Oryctolagus cuniculus: one gene and its partner. The protein of the gene in region 2 binds, or shares a complex with, the protein of the main gene of each other region. Links are inferred from orthologs where the notes say so. Each region holds a gene or a part of one and is shown on either strand. Other genes may lie near its edges.

Region 1 (3,552 bases), on a different chromosome or scaffold from region 2:
AGCTCCTTAGCACGGTCAGGCGCCCGACCGCCCTGGGCCCCTGCGCCTACGCGTACTGCCCTTGGAGCCCTGCGCCTACGTGACCGCCCTGGGCCCCTGCGCCTACGCGTACTGCCCTTGGAGCCCTGCCTGCAGCTCCTCATAGCGGGCGAGTGTGCTGGGCTTTTGCTGTTTTAAGAATCACCCCCAGGCAAGTATCAGAAAAGCGGAGGAATCGGGTCCTATTCTGGGGAGGGCGTTTTGAATTTCACGCCTCCTGTTGAATAAACCATGCCTTTCTGATTGGCGTTTCTGTCGTTGTGGAGCGCCAGGCAGAGCTCCTATGCCAATTCGCTGCCCTAAAGCCTGCAACAGCTCGGGCTGGGCCAGGCCAAAGCCAGCAGCCCCAGAACACAATCCAGGTCCCCGAGGGTGGCAGGAACCCCGTCATTTGAACTGTCATCAGTGACTCCCCGTGTCTGCATCAGCAGGAAGCTGGAGCTGGAACCCAGGAACTGAGGTGGGGCACGCGAGTGTATTAACCACCAGGCCAGCGCCCGGCCTGGCTGTGGGCGTGCTGCCGTGTCTGACCAGAAGGGCCGGCCTGCCTTACTGATGCACACATCAACATCGTGATCCTAGTTTATTTGAAAAGATGCCGAACCTGTTCCCAGGCAGGATGTTTAGGACCCAGACACATGTAAAGGAAGTCACCATCTCACAGAGGCAGAATGTGAGGTTGCAGTGTCGGGGAAGGTGTCTCCGTGTGTGCCAGGCTGTGCGGGCTACGAGCGCCCGTGCTGTTTCTCCCTCCCCCTCAGTGGTCTCCCGTGGGGCGGGAGCCAGTGCAGGGATGCGGCACTCGGCCCTGTTCACCGCCTGAGCCAGAGGCACACTCGGCTCGTGTTCTTCACCTTCCTGCAAGGCGCCGTGTGACAGGCGTCCCGGTCACGCCGTGGAGGCCTGCGCTGCTTTCGGCAAACTGTTTGTTGAGCTGCTGAAAACCTAGGATGAGCTTCTGGAGACCACAAGCACAGTCTGGGTTGAGGGCCGTGAATGCATTGCGAGGCGAGTAAAAAAGACCCCAAGATTTCAGACTTGAAGTTTCCAGTGGTCCGTCAATGTTCATTAAAACAGTGCAGTTCTGGCTGGCTCGCCGGGGGCGTCGGCAGACAGGGGCCTGCGTTACAGATACAGCTTGATGAGCTCATCGCTGACCGCGGAGGGCGTCAGCACACCCAGGTCCGTGAACAGCAGGGTGATCAAGGACGGGGCGGTGTAGTCGACCCATGGGTGCTCCTCTTTGAGGTCCTGCCCGGTCTCTACGGACTTGAGCAGAGTGTCTGCCTTGTACTGCGGGGATAAGAGCACGCGTTAGTGGGAGGCCTTGCGCCAGCTCGGGCGTGCTGCTACCTCAGACAGCTCTGGCAGCGTGTGGCCAGGAGGGGGCCAGTGCTTGCCACGTGCCAGGCCCTGTGGACAGCCGGAGTCCCCAGCTCCTGTCAGATGACAGACAGGAAGCAAGCCAAGTGACAGTGAAAGCACTTGCCCCTGGTCACAGGTTTGCGGGGGTGGGGGGGGAGCTGAGTGGATTCCAAAGCTGGGACCCCGGCTGCCAGCCTCCTGGCTCCTCTCCTCACACTCCACTGGCTATGTGGGCAGGGGGCTGCAGACTGAAATTCTGGGGACAAACATGGAGTGCAAGTTTTAGGACCCCCGACTGATGCTGGAGAGAACGGCAGTGGCAGGTGAATGTCTAACCGGAACGCTGGTGGCACTAGTTCTTCCAAGGGTTAGGCCGAGTCTCCCATGCCCCCTCTTGCCTTAAACTTATCCGGCACGTCCTGCTGGTTGAGCGGGAAGAGCCGCACAAACTTGAAGCTTTCTGCGACCACGTAAAAGGGCTTGTTCTGTGCCTTGGCGCACACAGCCATCTGGTTGGTTCCAATCTGGGAAGACAGGGCGAAGGGGAGCTCCTAGAGCAACTCTGACGTGGAACCCGCAGCAAGGGCACAGGGCTTGGAACCAGAGGGCCTTTCACAGAGGTCCCAGAGTCAGAGGTCCCTCCGCACCCGAGAAGACGCCCAGCATCACTCGACCTGAGGGCCCTGAGGGAAATGGACCTCCGCGCGTCAATGAGACACCAGCCAGGGCTTTGGCTCGGATCCACCATGTTCACAGGGGCAGGACGCAGAAACAGCCCAAACAGCCCAAGCTCTGGGATGCACACACAGCGCGCCCCCCACTTCAGTGCCACACATCACGTGGTACTGCGTAGACATGCAGGCTGCTTACGGATCAGTTAAAAAGGGAACAGTGAGGGCCAGACACGTGCCCCGTGCCTACACCTCGGCAACACCGTGCCCAGCCACAGCAGCCGTGCTCACAGGTAGCAGAAAGCAGAGTGGAGGCGACCAGGGCCTTCAGGGAGGCTGAAAGGCTGGTAGGTGTTTAATCGCGACGGACTGCGTGAGGAAAGAATGGAAAGTTCTGGAAACAGACAAGGACAGTCAGCGAGGCTGTGAATGTACTCAGAGCTGCTGAGCCGCACTTATTATGTGGCAGATCTGTTCATGTATCGACCACAAATGAGAATAAACTGCAGACCGACGTTTCCCAGATAAGCAATGCAGAGAAGATGAATTATGCTGAGGTCAGCGCCCCATTAAAATAACAAAACTGCCAACCCCAACTCTAATTAAGACTCGTTTCGTGTAAATACAAATTATGCTGTGTAAATATAAATTACCCCATCTTAATTTATGCACATCAATCTCCAAGGAAAATTAGAACAAAATTTGATTGAGCGGTGCAGTGGCTTATGGGATCTCACAGGGCGGCCCTGGCGTGGAGAGGCACACAGCACTGTCAGCGCCCAGGTCAGCGGGGAGAGGGGCGGCCCCTACCTTGTTAATGATGCCTCCGTTTTCTACAACTCCTTCAGCACCAACTATGACGAGGTCCACTTTCTCCATGATATAGCTAAAGGAACGGGAACAGCAGTGCTGTTGACGCTGGGCCCTCTGGGAAGATCCGTATTCCCTTTCAGTACGGAAGGCGCCAGCCACGATGACCTTTTATCAAAAGAGCACTCGAGCCCGGCACTGTAGCAGAGGCACGCGGCGACCTCAGCCAGGCGCGTGCGTGGCTCAGAGGGGTTTGGCTGCCTCCAGGTATACTGAGAGTGTTCCTGACTTCCTTCACCGCCCACCTTGGGCGCTTGCCTCCCACGAACCATCACTGCTGTTCTAACACCCACAATCCAAGGGACGCGTGACGCTGGTCTCGGGAGAGAAGCTGCTTGGTGAGCTGAGTGCCCAGCACGCTGCTGCCCCTTCCCCCCAGGGGAGCCCAGCCTGCACGGAGGCTGCCCCAGCACCCAGGACATGACAGCCCAGCCTGCCCACGGCTGGCCCCGGGAGCAGCTGAGCCTTGGCTGGAGAGCCCCGATGACCTTGACCGCTGACCCACCCGGCCTTTGGACCTGGCTCTTTGAGTGCACTGACCCCCCTGCCCGTGGCACACGGCTCAGCAGGTGACACCCCACAGCCCATCTTCCACCCACACTGTCCA
Region 2 (3,814 bases):
TGGGGAGTGAACCAGTGGATGGACAATCCCTCTCTCTGTGTCTCTCCCTCTAACCCTTCCAAATTAAAAAAAAAGAAAAAAAAAGTATTTGAAAGGCAGTATGATTTTGGGGGGGTGTGGGTAGAAATCAATGATTTTTCATCCACTGGTTCACTCCTGAAATGGCTGGAATAGCTAGGTCTGGACTAGGCCAATGCCAGGAGCCAAGAACTCCATTCTGATCTCCCACATGGATGGCAGGTGCCCAAGCACTTCCGCCATCTTCAGTGTCTTCCCAGGCACATTAGTAGGGAGCTGGATTGGAAGCCAGCTGCTGGAACTGGAATGAGCATTGCAATGTAGCAAGAATGGGCAATATCTGGTCCATGTGAATTGTATAAAGCCCCTGAAATCATCTGGCCTGGCCCTGCCAAAGCAACTGCAGGTGTGACTCGAGATTCAATAAATCTACAGCAGGTTAATTTTTAACTTGATAATTCTGTATAGCCCACGAATGAAACTATAAATACCCAGATGGACATTCACAGAAAAAAGGTTCCTCACCCCTTTGGGATGCTGGCGTCGTAAGCAGTGGCTTAGCTTGCTGCAGCACTATTTGCCAGCCCCTAAACTCATACTTAACATTCCATTTTCCATGAACTTTTTGAAGTGCTCTTGTATTTGATGTTTTAAAGGGCAGTGATTAGGTATTTTACAGAGCACATTATTTGCCATGATTTAAATTCTATAAAGACTTTAGGAACAAAGTAAAAATGAAGGTCTTGAGCTCACCTCCATTTGAACATTAAACACTCCCCTCTTTTCCTCGATCTTCTCTTTGATAACAGCCATAGCTTGATTGAGGACAGAGAGACCTTCTGTTCTCTCTAGGGTTGTGGTAGTCATCACGTATCGAGGAGGAGCTATTAGATTAATCTAAAAGAGAAATAAAATTCAATTATGAGTTTACCTACAAAACATAACAATTAGGATGTCTAAAAATTGTGTTATTAATTTGTGGCATTAACAAATCACCTCAAAACTCCCAATCCTGTAGATGTGCAATTTGGGACCATTTGTCAATGTAGTAATAATTAATAAAGTAACCTAGTCCAGTAGCATAAACAGAGCATTGCAATACAGACTATGAAGAATTAATTATAGCTTCTGGCTGGCACTGGTGGCTAAACTAGTCATTTCCAGCATAATGGACACTTTGGCTCTAAGCTAAGCCCACAGAAGGAATTCTAAAAGATTGTGAATAACAGCCATCCAGCTTATTGCTAGAGTCAGAACAAACTTCACAGAGGTTGTTTGTGTGCAGTTGAGAGAGAAGGCTAGCCTTTTCAAGGTACTAAGAGCATGTGGGCATTACATCTCTTTACTGAAGTTAGCAAGAGGATTCCCCATCTACTGTGACAGCAGTAATCACAAAAAGCCTACACATTCCCTAGAAATAGCACCAAGAATCACGGTTCAATTTCAAGGACAAATCACTTTTGTTATGAAACACGATCACAGAAAAAAAATCCAAATAAGGATCTCATTTGGTTTCAACATTTCATCAGGGAGAGAGAAAACTGAGGACTCACTTTGATGGGCATGGTTTCCGTAGAACAATTCAAACCTGCTCTCAGGGCTTCTTTCACAGCATCAATGCCTTCATAACCATAACACGCCACTTCAATATCTAAAATTACAAAAATTCAAAAGCTAACACAAAAAACCCAGGAAGGATTACTTAAAGATTTAAAAGATATCAAGAGATGAGGTAGATACACTAGCATTCAAATAATTATAAAGGCTTTTATCACCTTTTAATTAGCAATCAATCCCAGTTATTAATTTTTACAATGAAAAATATCTAAATATACAGTGAAATAGTAACTTTTAATCCACATCAAGTCACCTAATAACAAAATTACAAATGATAAATATATTTAATAAACACTTTAAATTTTGGTTACGACTGGGTTGAAGTACCGATTCCGACCTCTCTGAAATTAGTTTCTTGTTTATAAATGGAGATTAGGAGGGTGTGAAGGCCGAGTGAAATAACCACTGCGGTGTGTCTACAAACTACAGCCCCTCTGACTCACTGATTCTACTTTTGGGAATTGGTCTTGAAAACTGTTGTATAAATGTGTTAATTATTAAAAAAGATTTATTTATTTGAAAGGCAGAGTTACAAAGAGAGAGACAGAGAGGGGTCTTCCATTTGCTGGTTCACTCCTCAGATGGCCTCAATGGCCAGAGCTGTGCTAATCCAAAGCCAGGAGCCAGGCGCTGCTTCCAGGTCTCCCACATGGGTACAGGGACCCAAACACATAGGCCATCTCCCACTGCTTTCTCAGGTCATAGCAGAGAACTGGGCTGGAAGAGGACCAGCTGGGACTTGAACTGGCGCCCATATGGGATGCTAGCACTGCAGGCAGTGGCTTTACCCGTTACACCATAGCGCTGGCTCCCAGTACATTTCTTTCTTTCTTCTTTAAGATTTTATTTATTTATTTGAGAGGTAGAGTCACAGACAGTGAGAGGGAGAAAGAGAGAGAAAGGTCTTCCTTCCACTGGTTCACTCCCCAAATGGCCACAATGGTTGGAGTTGTGCCGATCCTAAGCCAGGAGCCAGATGCTTCTTCCCGGTCTCGCATATGGGTGCAGAGGCTCAAGGACTTGGGCCATCTTCTACTGCTTTCCCAGGCCATGGCAGAGAGCTGGATTGGAAGAGGACCAGCTGGGACTAGAACTGGCGCCCATATGGGATGCCGGCGCCGCAGGCGGAGGATTAACCTACTGCGCCACAGTGCCGGCCCCACCTGCGCCAGTGCATTTCTTTTGTTCGTCATTGTGGAAAAAAGAACTAACACCACTTAAACACTCATCAAAAGGGGACTGGTTTGTTAAAGCTCATCCGCTCTCCCAGCCATGAAAAAGAATAAGATCCCTATGTTCTTTCTCATGGAAGGGTATCCATGATATTCTGGATGGAAAAAGGTTAGTTTGACCAATCTTTGTAAAAGCAAATTTTTTTTTTTTTTTTTTTGACAGGCAGAGTGGACAGTGAGAGAGAGAGACAGAGAGAAAGGTCTTCCTTTGCCGTTGGTTCACCCTCCAATGGCGGCCGCGGCCGGCGCGCTGCGGCCGGCGCACCGCGCTGATCCAATGGCAGGAGCCAGGAGCCAGGTGCTTTTCCTGGTCTCCCATGGGGTGCAGGGCCCAAGCACCTGGGCCATCCTCCACTGCACTCCCTGGCCACAGCAGAGGGCTGGCCTGGAAGAGGGGCAACCGGGACAGAATCCGGCGCCCCGACCGGGACTAGAACCCGGTGTGCCGGCGCCGCTAGGCGGAGGATTAGCCTAGTGAGCCGCGGCGCCGGCCGTAAAAGCAAATATTTAACGGTTTTTCTGGTACATACAAGTATTTATAAAAAATCATTTACCTGCTCGAATTTTCACAGCCTGTGGGGTCAAACGCCTATTAATATTATTAATGAGTACTTCCCGTTCATCTTCATTCAAATCTAAACTATCCAAAATAGATGGATCTCTGATTTAAAAGACAAAATAAAACAAAGGGTCAAGGTTATAGTACCAGTAAGTGTAAAACAAAACATACTATATCATGAAATAATGCACACACCGAAACGCATGGGCTTTGGGGTCAGAAATATTAGTTTTGGATTTTAATAACTGTGTAACTGGGCCTTTTCAAATGGTAAAATTGAGATGAAAATTTCACAAGACCGTGGTGAATACTAAATAAGATAAGGCAAGTAAAGCACTTAGCAGGGGATGACAAACAGAACACAATCAATTACCAGTAGAAAAAAATT

What was found.
Region 1: the proteins of EIF2S1 (region 2) and EIF2B1 are in contact, whole or in part, in a cryo-EM structure (PDB 6K72), measured with the Homo sapiens proteins. The link is inferred for Oryctolagus cuniculus from reciprocal best matches to the Homo sapiens genes EIF2S1 and EIF2B1. Residues at the interface, in NP_004085.1 of Homo sapiens: Ala28, Glu29, Met30, Tyr33, Gly44, Met45, Leu47, Leu48, Arg75, Lys80, Tyr82, Ile83, Asp84, Arg88; in NP_001405.1 of Homo sapiens: Gly39, Thr41, Ile42, Gln43, Gly44, Leu45, Arg46, Ala47, Asn48, Glu70, Arg74, Ser77, Ser80, Leu81, Glu82, Tyr83, Ser84, Asp85, Tyr86, Cys89, Leu305.

What each region holds. Positions count from the first base shown.
Region 1 is NC_091452.1:5,814,150-5,817,701, reverse strand, and holds the end of EIF2B1 (translation initiation factor eIF2B subunit alpha), read right to left. Parts: intron 2,962-3,552; coding exon 2,886-2,961; intron 1,929-2,885; coding exon 1,803-1,928; intron 1,333-1,802; coding exon 1,165-1,332; 3' UTR 610-1,164; downstream 1-609.
Region 2 is NC_091451.1:13,233,393-13,237,206, reverse strand, and holds part of EIF2S1 (eukaryotic translation initiation factor 2 subunit 1), read right to left. Parts: intron 3,529-3,814; coding exon 3,422-3,528; intron 1,670-3,421; coding exon 1,572-1,669; intron 916-1,571; coding exon 772-915; intron 1-771. UniProt on the Homo sapiens protein: Member of the eIF2 complex that functions in the early steps of protein synthesis by forming a ternary complex with GTP and initiator tRNA. This complex binds to a 40S ribosomal subunit, followed by mRNA binding to form a 43S pre-initiation complex (43S PIC).